Caenorhabditis elegans: one gene and its partners. The protein of the gene in region 4 purifies or fractionates together with the protein of the main gene of each other region. This does not show direct contact. Each region holds a gene or a part of one and is shown on either strand. Other genes may lie near its edges.

Region 1 (4,870 bases), on a different chromosome or scaffold from region 4:
CAAATTATCTAATGATAGTTTGAAGCATCTGACATAGAAACAACTTGAAATCTTTCCCCACTCTTTTAAAACTGATTCGGCTCACGTTTCCCCTCTCTCTTTTTTCAAGCCAACTCTGAAACCTGCTAAAACTCGCGCTTAAGCTCATAAGCGTTAAGTATGTATGTATTACCACTATTACACACCTTTTCGCATTCTTCTCACACCACCACACTCAGATATGTGTTGTAATCATCATAATTTTAATAGCCATGGCAATTGGCAGGCTTTGGAGGTGGGCGGGTGCTTCCTGTTTTTTCTGTTTTCTTGTTCGGAGAAGATTTCATTTTTCATTAGCAAAACTTTTTGTTTCGTGAATTGTAGATACTATAAAGTCATGTACCAATTTTTCAAAATTCAACTTATGAGAAATTTGCTACAATTTGTCAATCTACAAGTAAATATAAAAATTAGCCATTTTCATTGGAGCAATTAAAAACATAAAACTTTACTGATTTGAATTAATAAAATATATTCGATAAGAATGTACCGAAATTATACTGTAACAAGGAAAAAAAACCTACCCGAGCAATTTATATTTGCTGTGAAAATTTTAATATAATAGGAACCCACAAAAACTAAGCAGAGAAATTAAACTCCTACCTCCGAATTTTCTATTTAAAAAATTGCAGTCTTTTTTCCCGAGCACTCAAAAAACTCTAAACGATGTGTTGCAGTTTTTAAAATAAATTTCAGAATGTTTTTTCAAAGTGTCAAAATATTCTGAAAGTTACAGAAAATTTTAACGAAAATCTGAAATTTTTAGGTTAATTTTCATTTTTCAGCGCTAAAAAACTTTAAACTGAAAATTTGTCTAGTGTATTATTTTTTTTCAAATTGTTGTAAAAACAAGGTTAAGCTCAAATGTTTTGCAGTAGAAGCGTAGTTAACACAAATATATACGTAGAAAATGTTTTCCTGGAAACTTTGATCTGCATTGAAAAACAAATATTTTTCACTGATATGGAGGTTTTCGTTTTTTCAAACTTGAATTTTCGAAATGCGGACCAAATTCTTAAACTCAAACCAATAAATGTGGGATTTCAAAGCTATATTTTGGATTTCTAGCCGGATCATACTTAACAACCCATGTCACACAAACAATTACCTCAGCTAGTTAGTTAGTGTTGACGACTGAACTTTGCCCATTCTTCAATTTTTAACCCACCCAAATCCACCTCTCTAAATCACAATCAACAAGGATTTGTGCCCCCTCCTCCCTCTCTCCCCTACTGCTTTTCACCCGATGTCGTCTCTCATTTAAAAACAAGTGGCATCAGTGACTTTTTGTTCTACGAGATCCTTGATAGCTCCTGGTTTCCAAGCTCTTCTTCTTCTTCTTCTTCACCGGCAAACACACATACACAGATAGAAAGAGAGAAGTTGTTGTAGGGGTGGTTTGGCGGGGGATCTCCAACAATCCTCCCACTCATTTTCGCATCCTTCCGCCTCTTTGCTGCTTCCCATGCTTCTTTCCTCTCGGTCTGAGGTCACATTGACTGATGGATCTGTTCTGTGAGAGGAGAGAAAGAGCCATTTTTCGGCACAAAATCACCAAAAATCGGGAGGGGTCCCGCCCATCCACGGGTAGGACGAAAACAAAACAAAACAAAACACGACGATGGAGGGCAAATCGCCATTGGTTTTGAACATGCCAACTGCACTTTTACTTCATTTCTAATCTTTTATCTTTTACGGTGTACCTATACATATATCTGTCTTCGATATTTAATTTCATACATTACAATCGTATGCCATTTTTTTTGTCTCTCCCACTTGAAAAGAATATCTTACTGCTTTTTATATCTTATTGCATTTTTAGGGTCGTCGTCGAAATGTCTGAGGTGGATGCTCAAGAAGAGTTTCACGACGCTCCAGAGGAGGCAGTGATTGAGATCCAGAAGGATTTTGTCGCTGAGATTGAGCAGGACAACAGCAATGCTCAACTTGTTGGTGAGTTGAGCGGTCGGTTACTGTAATGCAAAATGTCGAGCTTCAGAAGAGGGTGATGATCAACTTGTAACTGCCGAAGCTGACGACGAGAAGAGCGCTCAACAGGTTGATGAAGACCGCACCGAGGATCAGGTACTTTTTAGAATTTTGTTTTTATTTACGCATCATCTCGGCCTTTCTTGAAAGTTCTATCTTGCCTGTGGGCTAGAAATGAGGTCCGCGTGCAATACTTGATGTACCAGCTAAACTATTTAACTTTCAACATAATGTTTTCGTTAAAATGTTTGCTCGGAATATGATACAAAAAGTGTATGCTATCAAAAATGATATTATACAAGTAGAGCAACGTGTAAGTTATTTTTCTTAAATGATTCACATACATGATTGGTGTAACCATCATGTTTTTCGAGGCTCTTACAGATTTAATCAGCAAATTGTTTGTTAAACTTGATGTAGTTGCTTATCAAACTTTTAAACTTGATGTGAAATAATTTTTGGATTTTTCGAATTATGTGAATAATTGAGAAAAAATTGTATTCATGTTTCAAATGCGTTTAATAATGACATATTTGTAAAACTGTAAAACAATGTACACTTTTTCAGTATATAGAATGTTAAGAGGTTAAGACCTTTGTATATGTATATCTTGCAATTTCCAAAAATCACATCCATTTAAATTCCGAGAGACACCCAAAAAACGTAACAATTAAAGTGGTATTCTTAAATATTTGTTCGATTTTTTCTTACTAATTCACAAAAAAAAGAAATTAAGTTGCAAATTATTTTTTGTTAAAATAAACTTCTTTTTTTTTGAATTTTCTCATCTAATTTGAGTTTCAATATTCAGGACTTTTTGATGGCACTGGAGCTATGTATAAAATAATAGAATAAATGCGGCAATTTTCATTGAAAGATTGGAAATCTGTTTTCAGATATTTTTTCAGGACAACTTTCAATTTTTTATTTTTTATTTTTCACAACGTAGATCTAGTTTCTACTCAGCTTTTCCAAAACGTTTTAACTAAGGAAAAACGTGTTGAATAATTTTTTTCCAAAACTATATACCACAAAATTGTAGAACGATTACATAAGAAAACAAAAAACATCAAAAAAATTATTACTGTAATTAAAAAAATGCAAATATCAAAACCTAAAAGATAGTGAACAAACAACACAGTTTTTGTTGGTTTGTGTTCCAGTTTTTTCCTCAGTTATTTTTTTTCTGACTTGTTGCTTTTTGTATGCTTATCGCTCTTTTCATATCATCCGTTTCTCACAAACTATCATGTAGACCTAACCTATGCCGTAAACAAGTTTTTTTGTTCTGTGCCACAGCAACCATCACTCGTCAGAGTGATATCGTGAAATAAGACAAGAGATTGCTCGATGCGTAGGTGTCCCTTTTTGCTTCTTTCTCGCAAAATCTTTTTGCGTCGAGACGAGCTTGCGAGACCAAACCTTATTTTTTTGGCTACCTAGATCCTAGATCCCCACCTTTTCTCTACGCGTTTGCAAAACGCAAACAACCAGTCATTCAACACCTTCCCAGCATTAACCGATGGTTTGATTTTATTTGCTAACTTAATTATGTTCATTTTTAACTGGTACTTAAACAGTTTTTGAATTTGTTCTTGAAAATTGTCACTTACTTTTTCTACCGGTATATATATATATTGTGAGAAACAACCATATTACTACTGTTAATTTTATTCATTCATTTTAAAGAAACCAGAAAATTATCAAATACATAACCATGTAAATTTCTTTTAAACTCACAACCTGCTGTGAAATGTGAGCAAAAAGTGTAAATATTGAAAAAAAAATAAAACTACTATTTGAAAACTGTTAATTTGAACAATAGTTTTGAACGTGTTCCTGGTGCACTTAAATTATTATCAGATCCGCTTATCTCATATTATTTTGTTATATGAGTATATAACCAAAATTTGTTCTGTTAAAAGGGCCTCCTGAAAAAGTACTTATTTAATGCATGAATATTTTCTGGCTTTTCTCTCCACTCGTATGTATTGTTTTAATAGACATAACTTTCGAAGAACCAGATGGAGCTAGCCAGAGATTCTCAGTTGAGTTGGCTCAACGAGAGCCAGATCAAACAAATCACCATCTGAGTTGTTAGTGTGTCGCCCACAAGGTGTTCGCATCACTTTTGTTCCACTTCAAGTGCAACTTTTCCTCTCCCACTAGATCATTGTTATTTTCACGTTTTGCAGGTCCCCGATATCACTGGAACGGAGTACGTGGACCCAATGACGACTAGCATGGATGGAATTGAGGATCTTCCAGCAAATGATGAAGCTCAGGTAAGACAACTTTCGATCTGCAAATTTAAAACCTAATACATATATGTAGTTTTAGAAAAAGTAATATCGACACTTACAGTTAATTTTTTTCTAAAATGAAAATAACAGTTTATGCATTCAACTTAACGTAACTGAAAAAATATAATCAGAACTTATTCGAATTTTGTCGAGACACGCGTAATTGACAATTCAAAGACAAATTAATGCTGAATAGCTCTTCTTTCTCCCATATTTAGATTTTTCATCACAATTGTAAAACTCTCAAAATAGTAGGAAAAAACTCATGCATTTTTTTCCAGTCAAACAATTTTTGATAAGTTCAACATTCAAATTTAATACTATATGTGAATGTATCAATTTGAAAATACTATTTAATTGTTTAATTCCGGCAAAGTGCGCGGTATTTGAGCTTTTTTCAAAATTGTGAACGAAAAATGAATTCCACTTTTGCATTCACCAGATATTTTCTATGAATCTTTACGATAATTGTTGTTCTAAACAGTTAGCCTGAAATACCAAAATTGGTCACGAATTATAGTTAACAAAATGTTATAAAA
Region 2 (7,514 bases), on a different chromosome or scaffold from region 4:
TGCAAACTTTTACATGAATATCTCTAAAATTTGAACAGTGAGAAGAAACACAAATAATATTTCAAACCTTCTGGAATTCATCCAAAGAGTCATATCTCGTGCACACGTCGCACATTTTACAGGTTTCTTAGCCGGTGCTTCTTCATCATCGTCGCTCAGTGTGATCTCTTCGAAAGGAGAAGGAACATCTCAAAAAGTAAATTAATTGATTTAATTGGGAAATTTGATTTGAAACTTACTTTTGTCAGATTCATTTCTTACAATACTCTGCACACTTCCAAGTTTTTGAGGACGCCTAGAAAAAAAGACAGATATTTTTTAATTTACGTTTAGGTTAAATAGATACGACAGAAACAAAAACCTTACTACCTTGGCGCGGATGAGATCGAGTTTTGGGACAGTGCCTTTTTTAGTGATGAATCATTCATATGAGTAGAATCTAGAATACTTTTTTTTCTTCTAAAACTGAATTTGCAATTCTTATTCCAATATCAATTGTGATCAACGCATTCTACGTTTTTTCGTGATGATTTAGCAGTGATTCTGATTACGAAATTTATTGAGTAAACAACAAAAATGGTACTTGAATACAGAAAGAGCTCATGAACAGTATGACTGCTTGAATAAATATTTTGATAGATATATAAAAATGTTTGAAAAGTAAAAATCGAGGATGAACGGATTACCGAAATCAAAACAAATTATGTGGGATTAAGACAGATGGATGTTGTATTCTATAAATTAAAATTAGATCATCGTTGATAGACTGGAACAAAGGAAACAGGATTGAATGTGTCTGATAAGGTGTGGGTAATAAAGAGAATAAGATCAGGGTTTTCAGTGATAGCCGACGAATTGAGGAGGATAGTATGGAGCTGCTGGAGGAGCACCAACTCGATACTGTGGAGCCGGGATCGCAGATCGCCTTAACTCGATGGGAGGCTCGTGGAAATGGCGTTTGAACCAAGCCATCATTCGATCTAGCGTATCAAAGTTTTGATGTCGGAATCGGACTCCATGTGGGACAACTGTAAACAAAAATAGTTGAAAACTTTGTTCGTATCTCTTTTCGAAACTCACTTTTGAAATATTCATGTCGAATCCGTTCTGTATTATCGAACATATAAGAAATACAGAATTGGCATGGCTGTCTGTAGGATGCACTGAATACGTACGGAGATCGTCCCAGCTCTCGTTTCTTCTCTCGTACAAATTGCTCGACTGCTTCTGTTTCTTCGCATGTTCCATTTGGGAAGAAGTACTTGTGAGTTGTTATCTCGTGAGAGATCTGTATCATCGGTTGAACGAATCGAGCAATCAACTCATCAAGATCCTCGAAATCTTCTCCGCCGACTGAGAGTTGCCGACCAATGGAGAAAACTTGATCCTTTGCGGATTCTTTGACAAAGAAATTGTGATAGACGCGGTCACAAATCTTCCATGTCACAGAAAGACCAGAATCTTTATTAGCCGATGGACGAATAATACACTCAGACCAATCCATTTCATCCAACATTTTCGTAGCAGCTTCGTAGGATACATTATGGAAATTTGGATGCGCAATTACTCGCTTCACACGTGTATTTGCTTCTGTCTTCTTTTTCGATTCACTCTTCATCAGTTCCAAATCAGCTTGGTATTGATGCTCATCCCAGTACTGATCACGTTGAGATAAATCATCTTCTTTCAGATCCGAACTCTTACAACTTAGGAATAGTGAGAATCTCTCCTTGTCCAACTTGAGAACTTTGAAGTAATATGGCTGATTTATCTTGACTCGGGTTAATGGATTGTCTACGTGACTTGATGAGATGTTCTTGTTCGGACAGAATCCAGTCATTCCATTGTCAAATCTGACTCGAATTCCGACTGGTGTTCCAGGACATCCACCTTGACGAGACTGAAATAATTTAACATTGGTTAACGAATAGTATTAGTTGAGAAAAACTTACGTCACCGAGCATATGTTCTTGAATTCCACCAGGAGCCGAAGATGTGAACGATTTACAACATGGACAAGTGAAAAGACCATCTTCTCCAACATCAGGTAACATGCTGTCTGCTGCATCTTTGTCAACTTTACGGTACTGCACAGATTGAACTGTTCCCAACACTTTAGCTCCTTCCTGCAAAAATAAAAATAAAATCGACAGAATTATTACAAGTAACATACTCTAATTTCTTTTCCTGAACGAGCCAAAAGATCATACAAAAGCTCTCCGGTAGGTTCTTGGAATGGTTGCCGAAGATCTTTATATCTCGCACTCAACTCGCTTGAGATGTCATACAACGTCGACTTTTTCTCTCCGAATCCTTGTCGACTCAATTCATCGGCAAACGCGTCCAAATCGAGATCTCTCAAACGATCAGGAGATTCCATGATTTCTTGAAGAGCCGCAGTTGGATCAGCAGAATCATCAACCTCCAACGCATCCACAGCCATCTTTCTAGCCCATTCATAGGTCTCTGGATGTACTCTCGAACCGTCAAGAACTTCAACATAAGCGTCAGTCTTCTCCGATACCTTGATAGTGTCAATTTTGATGAATCCAGCACAGTTCATAAATACTTTTGGTCCCAGTTTGCATCCAACCACAAGTTTCGATCTACTCTCTATCAAATTATCGTTAGCTTTTATGCTTTTCAGAAGATCAGTGGCTTTTCGTGGACCCAATCCGCATGTGAACTGGAGCATGTTAGTGTAGTGAGGGAATTCTGCACATTTATTGATATCAACACCTTCTTCGTTGACCTTGTTCACCAATTCATGACTGAGAACCAAAGCCAATTGCTCTTGATCGATATCCCGTTGAAGCGGATGCAGAGAGAGACAGAAAATATCTTCATCAATATTCCACAAATGAGCATACTCTGGGATGGGATCCAAAAGAAGACGAGCTAGGGATAAAGCTTGTCGGAGCGTCGGTGGATGATCTGGATTCTCCGCCAACGAAACATTCGATCTCATGTAGACTTTTGCGGCTTCGTTGTCCATCAAAAATACTGGAATTGGTTTGTAGATCAAGTTCTGCGAGAAAAGATCTGCCACAGCTTCCTCGAGGTCTCTCTGAAAATTGCAGTTTTTAAGTATCAAATGTTCAAAACTAGTGCAAACCTTCAATCGAGTACACTCCATATCCTCAATATTCAATCCAATAGCATGAGGTTTTCGTCTCTGTACAAACTTCTTAAACAAATCCATTGACTCGGCCTTCCTTAGTCCATTGTTTCCACCGCCAAACGTTCGTTTCGTGAAATGAACCATTCGAAGATAATCAACAATTGCACCATTTTCATCAACCATTACACCAAATGAAGCTTCGTCTCGCTCTGTTGGATAGCACACTGCCATGATTCGACGAGCTCCATGTTGATCCATACCATCATCATCGTCATCGTTATTATCGAAATCCGGCTGAAATAAAACAAAACAATTACATAGTTATTAAATCAAATTAATACCAGATATCCTGATCTAGAAATTCGAGATGCAAACTCCTTTCTACATTTCTTTGCTACTGCAGTCTTTGCTTCTTCAAGAATCGTATTATACAACTCATCCCTCATGTAGGGTACAAGCATTTCAGTTATAGCCATATTCACACACTCATCTCTCACTGAATTCCATTGTTCAACATTTTCCGTGTATTCGTCTTTTTGGAAAATGGAATCACTTAGATACTTGTTAACGAGGTAGTTATTTGAATCCTGATCTTCTTCAGATTCATACATGATGAGCACATCAACAAGACCATCCTCTTTGGCTTTGTGATAGAAGAGGAACTCTTCAGCGGTGAGACTTCGAACTGGTTTACTCTAAAAATATATATTTATTAAAATCCTAGACATTTATTTCAAATAATTCTCACCTTGATATACCGTTTGTCATAGAGGGGATGAGTTTGATCAATTGTATCACGTCCTTTCTTCGTTGGCTTGATCCAAAAATGTGCAGACTGGCGGAATTCTTGCCGAACACTATGCCTGACTTGTGGTTGTCGACTGATCTCCTTGGCAAGCATGAATTTCGCACCATTCAGAACCATATCACTGTCACTGAACGCAGGACAAACATACTCTTCTGCTGCTTCCAATGGTAACATCGGATCTTGCTCAATGTCGTGTTTTTTCCAGTTCAAATTTTCAGAAAACTGTTTTGCAGTCAATCCAAACCGTCCAGCAAGCTCTCCGATTCCGTTTTCCACACACATTTGATACTTATCATTACGAATGCTTGACTTGAACTTGACTCGATACTCTTGTTCCTCTTCTTCACCGGTTAAACGTCCTTTTTCCCATCTAATCATATCGTCGAGAAGAGCACCGTACAACAATTGGAAATTTGCATGTATGTCGGTAAGCTGTTCAAGAGTTTCTGCGTATTTTGTGCTGAAAAATAATTTAAATTCTAAATTTTAAATTTTAAAACTTACTCCATCAAATCTGCATCCGAAATCGGTCGTCTTTTTGCGGTCAAATCGTCACTGAGTTCCTGATACTCTCTCATCCGACGCATTAAATCGTAAATTTTATTTTTCTTCTCTGACAAATGACACCATTTTTCGTCAAAATCGTATACTCTCCATAGATTATTCATTGTCAGAAGATTGTCAATATCTTCTTTACGATAAAATCCAATAAACGTAGGTTCGAACGAATTAGAACGAACTCGAATGAATTGGAGAACTTTCTTGATGGATTTTATAACAGCTTTCTTTCTATCTTCATAGACAGAAGGATCCAGATTCATTATACAATCAAGTTTATCGTCTTGATCCAGGTCAGCTTGATTTGTCACTGTCCCTTCTTCGAAGGCATATTTAATAATCCATAGAGCTTCAGATTCCAGTTCATCATCATCCGCTTCTGTAACTGGTGTTCTTCTGAGTTGGAACCTCTCTGGTAAATCTTCTTTCGCGATTTTCTTATCCCCAGGTAACAAGAATCCACGATCAATTTCACTTGGTTCGATGGATTCGAGAAGTGTTGACTTCTTTGTAGTATCCTTCTTTCTGCGTATCTGAACCATTCCTATTTCAATAATGCAAAGCTTTTCTCAAAAATTCCAACCTTTATCTCTCCTCCTTCACCATCATCTTCTATTATTTCCTCCTCTTCGTCTTCTAGACCATCCTCGCCATCATCATCGTCGTAAAACTCGTCCAAATTGAAGTCTTCCACTCCGAATACATCACGGGCGTCATCTTCAGCGCCTTCTGGGAGATTTTCGTCTCCACGATGACGTTTCCGATGTCTTCGTGGCGCATCTCCATCGTCCTCAATAAAGTCATCCTCACTTCTTTCAGACTCTGATCCGTAACCACCGCGATCTCCACGACCACGATCTTTTCGCCTGTCTCCATCGTCACTTCCTCGTTCGGAAAGCAAATCATCATCTTCGTGGTTGGGTCTCTGAAATTCCGAATTTGATTATTATTATTATTATGAATTTTAGTGGCAATTGAAAAAAATCGAAATTACTCACTCGTATCGGCTCATCTTCATCACTGGAATCACCCAATTGAACTCGATTTTGTTTTTTCGTCTCTCGAATATCATAATTCTCATTGATCAAATCAAGATCTTCATCGTCGAGCTCATCTTCTCCCGAGTGCCGAGATTTTTCTGACTTCTCCGATTTTGCGTCCTCTTCTTCATCGTCATCATCTGCAATGAATCCCTGCATTTCTTTACGGTTTTCCTCTTCATCGTCATCGTCGTCTTCATCTTCGTCAGAACTAAAAATGAACAAATGAAAATAGAAATACCCCGGAATTATAATTACCTGGCAACCATTTTCTTCTTTCTTTTTGATTTTTCCTTTGCCATTTTCATCTTTTTCGACTGTGGTTCTTCATCATCAGAATGGCCCGAGGAGGCATCTGATTCTTCGGCTTGATTATCGATAAAATCCATTACCTGCAACAAATTCAGTTAATTTCACTTGGGAAGAACGAAATTTCATAATACAAAAATTTCGAAAAGCACAAAGAGCAAAATTAAGAAAATTGCAAACAGCTCACAGTGCGGAAAAGGTTTAAAAGTGAAAGAAAACTGAAAAATCTTATTTTGTGCAAAAAAAATTAGCCAGATAGGTGAAAAATGACGGATTTTACGCGGTTTTTAGGCCAAACGAGCGAAAATTAATCAATAAAGAAAACGGAGAAAGAAGGAAACCGGCCATTCGGGTCGAGGACAAAAATAAAAATGAGACGATTTTCTGAATTTGAACGCGAAGCGATTTATGCAACTGCGCCCCATTGTGATGCTAGGCGAGAGAGTGTGGGATTGCAAGAGGCGGGTAGAGATAGAAAAACGCGGTCGTTTAAAAAATATCGCTTTCCCGAGTTTCGCGTATTTTAGGAATTATATGTTTCATTTTAAAGCGATATTGCGAAAAGTGATTTCGATTCATCTTTATTGCGTGATAGGTAAACAAATTGGTTCATTTAGCAAGCATCCAAGACGACGAAATACGATAACCGGGGTATTCAGAATTGTTGCGAAAAATGTAATAGCTATATAGCTATGTGAAATTATTTAGGCATAAAAGATTAATTTTCATTCAACTACCATGTTCAATTTTGAAGGTTTATTCTTCACAGACTCATTCTTTCATCAACAAAAATCTTACCACGAAGAAAAACTTTATCAAATACCGTACCAGCGAGTATGATAGAAGCTTTTTAAAAGTTTTTTTTCCTTATTTCCCGATTTCAAATATATACGTAGATTTTTTCGAGGAAAAATCAATTCATAAGTTCTGTAATTTCAGGAGAAATTTGGCGAGAAAGATTGAGGTACTACAGTACTCCCGAGTACGGTAGTTGAAAAAGTTTCGCTTGAATCAGTGTTTCAATTCTAGATATACGCCCTACCAGATGCCTAGGGGGTAAGTGCCTACAGTGAAGGTTCACTTAAACTGCATTACTTTGATAACCTGAACCTGCTGATCATCATATCCGAAAAACCCCCAAGATATTCACTTGCTGACCATTTTTCATTAGTTGAAGTCCTAATTTCCATCGCTAATTATTCATTCATTTGCTGTTTCCGACATACTTATCAAATCCCATGGGATCCCCCGAATCCATGAGCACAATAATCGAAAGATTGAGGCTCAATGTCTATTCTCCATCCTCTCTCTCTCTCTTCCACACTCTTGGACCCGCCCCACCCTGGGGCCAGTCGAGCGCGCAGCTTTTCGTTTCAAACTCTGCGCCTCTCTCATTCCAAAGCTCTCTGCGCACTTTCTTTTACTCTCTTTTTCTCTGAAAAGGCTTTCAAAAGTAAGTGAGAGATTGGAAGAGAGTGAACGAGAGAAAAAGAGTAAGCAGTTGGGGGGAGTAGGAGGCGAAGGAGGGGGAACAACTACTACTCGCTCTCCTCTACTTGCCTCATCTTCTTCCTTTTCATTTTTCAACGTCTTCTATTCTGAAGATTCTTCTTGTCTTCTGGATTCATGGACGACGATGTCGGTGAACGAACACCGGCTCTCGGTGGTTCATGTGGAC
Region 3 (3,618 bases), 2.9 Mb from region 4:
CAAATTTCGAATGCTAAAAACATTTTTTTTAATTATTTCATGTTTTCTGAAATTAATAATTACTATTTTCGAGTCTCAGCACCGAGTCTTGACCCAAAACGTCTCTCAAGTGAAATTAAATCCGAAGATTTCAAATGTCGAGAGTAATAATCGATATTCGGGACAATTTGACGTCGCATTCTGTAATTAATTCCATATTTTTAATCGATTTTTTCTAAAAATTCGCACCGTCCACACAGTGATTGCACTGAATACGGACAATTGTAGGCTTCAACGTACAGTTGCCACGTGATTATTCCAAACGGTCCAAGGCTCTTGTCATTTCTGAAAGAGGTGATTCTTGAAATATCATTTAAGCATTCTATATTGCCTGGCAACCCATTTGAGCATTCTCACATCTTCGTAATCGTTATAATGATGTCGTTGGTTTCCCATCTGAAAAATTAAGAGCCTCCTATCTGGGGTGCTAACAAAAAAAAATAAATTTTTAAAAGAAACTATTTAATTTATGAAGAAAAAAAACACCTTTACACTCCCATAGTGGTTTTATTACTAAAGAAGAAGAAAAGAGAAAAGACGTAGAAAGGAAATAAAAACAAAAAGTTCTGATGTCTCCCGCATAAAACAAATAAGGCCTCTTGTGTGATATATATATATGTGTGTGTATGTATAAATTTAAGGGGGGTGCAGGATAAAAAAATGAAAAATGTTGGGGATGAAGGGAAGAACAGGAAAATTAAGCGAAACCAAGGGGGGAAAGGAAAGAAACGGAATAAGTTATAATGGATTATAATTACAAGCATAATGAATAGGGTCATTCACTTTCAATACTATAATTATCAAATCAAATCACAGTAAAAATAAAGATGCACTTTGCCGGAGTACCATCTTCGAACCAAGGAACCACAGTGAGCTGCTCGATCAAGAAATGGTATGAGGTGGAAGGGGGGATTTTTGAAGGAATGAAGAAGGGGTTTACAAAATGGACAGCTTTGGCTGATCCTTCTGGGCTCCCTTGTTGCCTTTCTTGCCCTCGCCTGACTTATTGTTGTTGTTGTTATTTTTCGGTCTGCGTGCAACGTTTTCCGAAGAGGTGATCAGGGAAGCGTCGACGCCACGAGATGCCATTGTGAGCATGAGTGTCTTCTGAAGATCAGCCAACTGATCGGCGCTGAGTCCCGATGAAGTGAGTTGGAAGCCAGCCGTGTTGGTGACTGTCTTTGATGCGGCTTTCTTATCTTCTGAAAATAAAAGAATTTTTAATTAAAATTCTATTCTAGAGACATTTTACGCATACCTTTGTGTGTTGGGCTGAGGTTAACACCTGAATCTGCTCCGACGGATGAAGTGATGCTTGACTGACTAGTAGCGTGCTTGATTGGCCCAGCGGCTGGAGGTGGAGAAACCGCCTGCTTCGTTGGAGCTGCTGCTGGCTTTCCGTTGGCAACCGGCTTTGAAGATCCTCCAAGAGCAGCAATTGCTTTGAGAATTGTAGAGGTATCAAATTGTGAAGCGTTTGACTGCTTCAACTCCTTCTCGCGGTCGTTCAATGCGAGTCGGATAGCCTTGAAAGCTGTCGACAACGGATCAGCTGGAGCTGGTGCACTGACTGAAAGGAATTATTATTACAGACGAAAAGAAAGAAGAAAAAGATACGTACCAACTGGTTTAGGTGCAGCAGCTGATTTAGTTACCGAAGAAGAGGCTGGGGCGGCTACAGTTGGAGCTGGAGCCGCTTTAGCAGGCGCTGGAGCACTTTGCGTCGTTTCCGGGGCAGCTGTTTCAGTCTTCTTGCTCTTGTTCTTCTTCTTTTTAGCTGCGGTTACACTGACTCCATCTGATGTGGTCCATCCTCCAAGAATGCTAGAGGCTCCATCTGAAAATTAAAAATAAATTCTAAAAAAAAATCAAATTAAAATGATTTACCTTCCAAGAAAGCAGAAATTGTCTTGCCAACGTCAAGATCGAATGAGTGAAGAACCATAATGATGTCATTATTGGTTACACTATCAACGACTTCACGAACTTTGGCGATTTTCTCCTGCATGATTTTCTTCTCGCTTTCCTTTGGTGCCATTTTTCTGGAAATTTGAAGTAAAGAAACGAGAAAGGACACATCGAAATGTCAAGAAAGATACATAAGAAACAGATTATGAGAAGGTTCGGTAAAACTTTGGGTAAGCGACGTAAAACACCAATCTCCTCGGCTGGTTGGCACGCGTTGCGGTCGCGTAGCGGCCAGGGTGGCACTGAGACGCGCGTTTCGGAGAGCGATAACCTACATAATGGGGAGCGTACTGGGAACAGGGCAAATGGATATTTTATCAATTTATACGAGTACTGATTGACAGGATCATGAGAATGATAACAAGTGGAAAAAGAAATGAGAATCTCGAAGGAAAAGGCCTAAAAGGGAAGGAAGACGTGCCACGAGGAAGACGCATGTAGTTTTGCAGTGGTGTGTACCCGCCGCGAAAGCAAGTACGGTAACACTCGTTGCTGCGTGTGCACTGCTTGGCCTAAAATTTTATCTCCACAGTTCTTTTCTCTTCGTTCTGTGGTTTTTCTGTAGATTTTTGGATATATTTTCTCCTTTTGAGTGATTTTTACTTTCTTTCAAGGTTTTAAAAGCCTATTTTTTCGTTATTGAACGTTATCCACTTGCTGCCCTCTATATAGAATTCTTAATTTATTTCTATTTCAGGGTAAAATGTCGAAGGTTTCCCGCGAGTCTCTTAATGAGGCTATCGCTGAGGTCCTTAAGGGATCCTCGGAAAAGCCACGCAAGTTCCGTGAGACTATCGAGCTCCAGATCGGTCTCAAGAACTACGACCCACAGAAGGACAAGCGTTTCAGCGGATCCATCAGGTAGCTACGACCTGTGAAAACAGGGAGTTGGGACTTTCAAAGCCTAACGGACCCCCACCCAGGGTCTTAAATTTTTGGGGAGGCAATTATTGCCGCTTTGAAATAATGATATGAGCTGGTATAATGTAACCAATCGTGTCATTTGGATTTATTTCTATTGTTCTATTTTCCAGACTGAAGCACATTCCACGCCCAAACATGAAGGTGTGCGTCTTCGGAGACCAGCACCATCTTGACGAGGCTGCCGCCGGAGACATTCCATCGATGAGCGCCGATGACTTGAAGAAGCTTAACAAGCAGAAGAAGCTCATCAAGAAGCTCGCCAAGAGCTACGATGCTTTCATCGCTTCCGAATCCTTGATCAAGCAGATCCCACGTATCCTCGGTCCAGGACTCAACAAGGCCGGAAAATTCCCTTCCGTCGTTACCCACGGAGAATCTCTCCAAAGCAAGAGTGACGAGATCCGCGCCACCGTCAAGTTCCAGATGAAGAAGGTAAACATTATCATTCTTATTGCCCTGTTAATAATTGTATCATTTCAGGTTCTCTGCCTCTCCGTCGCCGTCGGTCACGTTGGACTCACCCAGGAGGAGCTTGTCTCCAACATCTCCCTCTCCATCAACTTCCTCGTCTCGCTCTTGAAGAAGAACTGGCAGAACGTGAGATCGTTGAACATCAAGTCCACCATGGGAAAGCCACAAAGAGTTTATTAATTACTTTGTTATTCAATAAACATTGTTGATTTGATT
Region 4 (4,980 bases):
TTTCTTCGACTCAAAGTTCTCCAGACAACGGAAATGAAGCCGATGATAAAGAGAACAGTTCTGTTCGTCGTAACACATTCCCAGCGTCATCTGCTTCAACAAAAAAGCCACGTGGTACTCCATATGACCGTACTAACACACCAATGACAGTAGTTCCACAAATGCCACAGTTTGCTCCAGACTTTTCAAACTATAATCTCACAATGAATGCTTGGAGTGAGTTCTTTAAAAAGGATAGATGTATGGTTTGTGGTGATAACTCTACTGGATATCATTATGGAGTACAGAGTTGTGAAGGATGCAAGGGATTTTTCAGAAGAAGTGTTCACAAGAATATCGCATATGTTTGTACCAAAGGAGAAAATTGCACAGTGAGTTTAATTAGACAAGCATTTCAAAAATATGCTATTATATTTTTCAGTTCTCATATGAAAATTGTGCGGCAAATCGTGGAGTACGTACTCGTTGTCAAGCTTGTCGATTTGCCAAATGCCTCGCAGTTGGAATGAATCGTGACAACGTTCGAGTGAACAAAGAAACTGATAAAGATGTTAAACCATCAGTGGCTTCGCCCAATTTTGAGATGACATCACAAGTGAAAGAGCTTACGGCCGCCTTTGTTGCAAACATGCCATGCTCTACTCACTTAACATCGGGAACTCATGCTATTGGAGCAATTAAGAAATTTATTGAATCAGTTCCAGCTTTGAGCTCACTTTTGCCAAAAGATGAAAAAGCACTTGAAATGAGTATTCAAAAAGTGATGAGTGGTATCTTGGCTATTCGTGCGGCTTTCACATTTGATCCAATCACTTTCTATTCCTGTGAGAATCCAGTAAATTTGCTTCGTGGCGGCATTCGTAATACAGTATTCAATGATTGTGAAGTTGCACTTCTCTCTGGAATTCATATACTTCAAATAGTCAATGGAGGTGTCGCTGAGGTAAGTAATTGTTTGGCATAATGCCAAAATTGTCGGAATATTCCCAAATGACACAATTAATCCCTACCATAACACTCAAGAAAGTAAATATTGCGCCAAGAAAGTTAACCTTTTTCAGATTTTTACGAGTTATTGTCAAGGATTACGCCATCAACTGTCTCAAACACATCTACAAGAGATAGGACTCTGCGATCGATTGCTCATGAGATTGGGACCGTATCTCAATCAATAACAAATATATTACTTCTGATAAATTCAGAACCGATTCGGTGTCTGGACACGCTTCCAACCGGTTCTGAATTCTCACAAAACTTTATTCCTGTCTTATGAATCAATATAGATTCAAAATACTTGTTTAAAGTCCCCTTCCCCCGTTACTATCATTTTCTATTCATGTTCTCAAAGTCTGATCATTTCTTACTGATCTCTTCCTCCAGGTGTGAATTTAATTCTCTATCTCACTCTCTCGTTCGGGCTATATACTGTTTCTTTTTGAATTTCCAATTGATGTTGTTTGTTAGGCTGTTACAGTACCAAAAATTATATTATTTGAAGTTTGTTAAAAACTTAATATATTTGGTACTGCTTCTTGGTTGTTGAAAAGATGAAATAAATATTATTTGATAATTTAACTATTTTGTATGCAGGAAAAAATTTGACGTGCCACAACTTTTACCGTTATTTGTCGTAATTTGTCGTAATAGTAATTTGTCAATTTATTTGTCAAAATTAGTCAATTATTAAAAAAATAATAAAATTAATAGAAACGGTCGTCAGATGCGGTGCTTGCGTATACAGTATACTTCGGTGTTCACGTATGATCGACTACCGTAGTTCTTTGTTTTCGGTTCGACGCGCGAAAAAATTAGAGTGCATTTTTCGAGAATTCATTTTTTTCATTCTTTTCCGGACTTTTCTTGTTCGCGGACGTTTTTCGCTTCTTTTCTTTACACGCGTTATTGACTGACAAGTTTCAGAATGACTGAGCTCAAATTCAAGGGAGTTTACGTGGAGGATATAGGCCATTTAACATGCGGAACGCTTACATTGACTGAAAATTCGATTAACTTCATAGGCGATAAGGGTGGAAAATCAGTTTACATCACAGGAACCGACGTCGATAAACTGAAATGGCAAAAGCTTGGCAACAAGCCGGGACTACGCGTTGGTCTTAGTGATGGAGGTGCTCACCGCTTCGGAGGATTCTTGGATGATGTTAGTTTGTTGTTCGTTTTCTTTATTTTTATACGTTTGTAGTCTCATTTTATTCAAATTCGAAATTTCAGGATCTTCAGAAAATCCAATCGTTCACTTCTTCTAACTGGTCTAAATCTATCAATCAATCAAATCTTTTCATCAATGGATGGAACTATGGGCAGGCCGATGTCAAAGGCAAAAATATTGAATTTTCATGGGAAAATGAACCGATTTTCGAAATTCCGTGCACGAATGTGTCAAACGTCATTGCCAACAAAAATGAGGCTATTTTGGAGTTCCATCAGAATGAACAAAGCAAAGTTCAGCTGATGGAGATGAGATTCCATATGCCAGTTGATCTAGAAAATGAGGAGGATACTGATAAAGTAGAAGAATTCAAGAAAGCAGTGCTGGCATATGCTGGATTGGAGGCTGAAACTGAGCAACCAATATGCCTTCTCACTGATATTCTGTGCACAACACCTCGTGGAAGATATGATATTAAAGTTTATCCGACAAGTATTGCACTCCACGGAAAGACGTACGATTACAAGATTCCTGTCAAAACGATCAATCGTCTATTCTTGGTTCCTCATAAAGATGGACGCCAAGTATATTTTGTGTTGTCGTTGAACCCACCCATTCGCCAGGGACAGACACACTACAGTTATCTCATTTTCGAGTTTGGGAAGGATGAAGAAGAAGATTTGGAGTTGTCGTTGACTGAGTGAGTTTATTTCAGAATTTTCTGGGAACAATTCCGTGCCACTCAAATATATTTTATATTGCCGTCCAATAATTTGAGAGTATTTCAGTGAACAACTCGACTATTTCAATGGAAATCTTCAACGTGAAATGACTGGACCAATCTATGAGACAATCTCAATTCTCTTCAAATCAATTTGCAATCTGAAAGTCACCGTTCCTGGACGATTCCTCGGAAGTTCGGGCACTCCTGCCATACAATGTACACATCGTCAGAACCTTGGATTGTTGTACCCAATGGAAAAGGGATTTTTGTTTATTCAAAAGCCGGTCATGTACATTCGCTTTGAAGAGATTAGCTCATGTCATTTCGCACGTTCTGATAGCGGAACTGTAACAAGAACTTTTGATTTTGAGATTGATCTGAAAACTGGATCATCGTTGACTTTCAGTGCAATGGATAAAGAAGAGAACAACAAACTATTCGACTATCTAAACAAGAAAGAGATCAAAATTCGCAATTCTCATCGTATCGATAACAAATCAGCTGGTTATGGAAGCAGCGATGAAGATGATATCGATCCATACAAGTCAACTGTGAAAGCAGAGGGTCGTGAACAAGATGATGACAGCGATGATGAAAGTACTGATGAGGATTATGATTTGGATAAGGATATGAAGAAGCAGAAGAATGACAAAGACTCATCAGAAGGTTCTGGAAGTGAACCTGACGATGAATATGATTCTGGCTCAGAGAAAGATGCTTCAGGAACTGGAGAATCTGATCCAGATGAAGAGAATATTGAACCAAAAAAGAAGGAGAGTAAAGAAAAGAAGAATAAACGCGAGAAGAAAGAGAAGCCGGTAAAGGAGAAAGCTGTGAAGAAAGGAAAGAAAACTAAAGATCCAAATGAGCCGAAACGAGCAACCACTGCATATATCATCTGGTTCAATGCCAATCGTAATTCAATGAAAGAAGATGGGGATACACTCGGAGATGTTGCTAAAAAAGCCGGAGCAAAGTGGAAGTCCATGAGTGCGGATGATAAAAAGGTATTTTTATAGACTTTTCAAATCAAAAACTCTTTTAATTTTAGAAAAAACCATGATTTTCGAATCTAAAAAATTCAATCACTTTTAGAGCCATTAAAAATGTTTTGTTTTATCCCGTTAGTAATTATTTTTATTCAGGAATGGAACGATAAGGCTGCACAGGACAAGGCAAGATACGAAGCGGAAATGAAAGAATACAAGAAGAATGGTGGAGGAGTAGAGAAAGCATCTGGACCATCCACGAAGAAAAGCTCCGATCAATCTCCGGGTAAACAGTTCAAGTCTAAGGAGCATATCAGTGATACGGATGATTCCGATGACGATGAGCCGCTAAAGGCGAAGAAAGACGAATCCGATGCTGCCTCCGAGTCTTCTGGTGAATCGGATTGATTTTCTGACTAAATATTTTATTGTTGCTTTTTATTCGCCTTCCTTCTTACTTTCATAGATCTCTTTCATCCTCTTTCCAATCATTTACCCATTTTATATTGGATTCCCATTAATTTCAATTATAACTGTAAAATGAATTTATCGATGATGGTTAAAAAGAGAGAAAAAATCAGTAACAATAATGGCATGGGGGATTGTGAAAAATGATTACAATATTAATATTTAATACGATATTTGAAGATTCCAATTCAAAAGGGGGATTGTTTTGAATATAACTAGACGTCTATTTTGAAGCAATCAATTAGAAATGGAAAGTATAATTACTTGCCTGAATTTGAAGGAAAAGATAAAAAAATAGACGAGAAAAGAAGTACTAAATGATTAATCAAAAATGCATTAAAAAGTTCAAAGTATTCACAACAATCATTTTTAATCTCCAGACCGTTCCATAGCGATCGTAATTCCAGATTTTTCAAGGTTCGCAATAGCTCTTTCTTGTTTCGACTCTCCGTGTTTCGTTTTTGGAAGCGTTTGAATCGATAATTTATGTGTTAAATAAACTCGAACAGGCATCAATCCAGATTCTGTTGCAACCGGCATTTCCATCAAATCTTCATCTGAAGCACTATCAATTTGACCGATAATATACTTGATACGATCCCGAAACTCGATATTATAATATTTGATTATAT

The links.
Region 1: the proteins of hmg-3 (region 4) and T23E7.2 purify together in Caenorhabditis elegans (affinity purification with mass spectrometry, with the first as the bait; 2 studies listed by BioGRID). This does not show direct contact.
Region 2: the proteins of hmg-3 (region 4) and emb-5 purify together in Caenorhabditis elegans (affinity purification with mass spectrometry; 2 studies listed by BioGRID, with this or other methods). This does not show direct contact.
Region 3: the proteins of hmg-3 (region 4) and Y71F9AL.9 purify together in Caenorhabditis elegans (affinity purification with mass spectrometry, with the first as the bait; 2 studies listed by BioGRID). This does not show direct contact.

What each region holds. Positions count from the first base shown.
Region 1 is NC_003284.9:17,669,168-17,674,037, forward strand, and holds the start of T23E7.2 (Aggrecan core protein), read left to right. Parts: upstream 1-1,861; 5' UTR 1,862-1,874; coding exon 1,875-1,992; intron 1,993-2,038; coding exon 2,039-2,124; intron 2,125-4,223; coding exon 4,224-4,313; exon of another isoform or gene 4,314-4,329; intron 4,330-4,870.
Region 2 is NC_003281.10:4,714,750-4,722,263, forward strand, and holds emb-5 (Suppressor of Ty 6 homolog), read right to left. Parts: upstream 5,922-7,514; 5' UTR 5,917-5,921; coding exon 5,786-5,916; intron 5,739-5,785; coding exon 5,486-5,738; intron 5,413-5,485; coding exon 5,071-5,412; intron 5,021-5,070; coding exon 4,434-5,020; intron 4,390-4,433; coding exon 3,870-4,389; intron 3,817-3,869; coding exon 3,463-3,816; intron 3,416-3,462; coding exon 3,116-3,415; intron 3,068-3,115; coding exon 2,174-3,067; intron 2,127-2,173; coding exon 1,953-2,126; intron 1,901-1,952; coding exon 1,081-1,900; intron 1,029-1,080; coding exon 838-1,028; 3' UTR 544-837; downstream 1-543. Other genes in the region: him-18 (SAP domain-containing protein), read right to left, coding at 1-23, 68-188, 240-295, 370-428; acy-1 (adenylate cyclase), read left to right, coding at 7,463-7,514. UniProt on the Caenorhabditis elegans protein: Histone H3-H4 chaperone that plays a role in maintenance of chromatin structure during RNA polymerase II transcription elongation.
Region 3 is NC_003279.8:2,875,395-2,879,012, reverse strand, and holds Y71F9AL.9 (CUE domain-containing protein), read right to left. Parts: upstream 2,082-3,618; 5' UTR 2,078-2,081; coding exon 1,927-2,077; intron 1,877-1,926; coding exon 1,661-1,876; intron 1,610-1,660; coding exon 1,298-1,609; intron 1,242-1,297; coding exon 976-1,241; 3' UTR 527-975; downstream 1-526. Other genes in the region: Y71F9AL.8 (Myb_DNA-bind_3 domain-containing protein), read right to left, coding at 1-13, 64-180, 229-324, 371-435; rpl-10a (Large ribosomal subunit protein uL1), read left to right, coding at 2,711-2,868, 3,042-3,363, 3,412-3,582.
Region 4 is NC_003279.8:5,815,067-5,820,046, reverse strand, and holds hmg-3 (FACT complex subunit ssrp1-B), read left to right. Parts: upstream 1-1,914; 5' UTR 1,915-1,921; coding exon 1,922-2,158; intron 2,159-2,229; coding exon 2,230-2,867; intron 2,868-2,955; coding exon 2,956-3,898; intron 3,899-4,036; coding exon 4,037-4,288; 3' UTR 4,289-4,438; downstream 4,439-4,980. Other genes in the region: Nuclear hormone receptor family member nhr-2, read left to right, coding at 1-371, 422-943, 1,062-1,175; Retinoblastoma-like protein homolog lin-35, read right to left, coding at 4,718-4,980. UniProt on the Caenorhabditis elegans protein: Component of the FACT complex, a general chromatin factor that acts to reorganize nucleosomes. The FACT complex is involved in multiple processes that require DNA as a template such as mRNA elongation, DNA replication and DNA repair.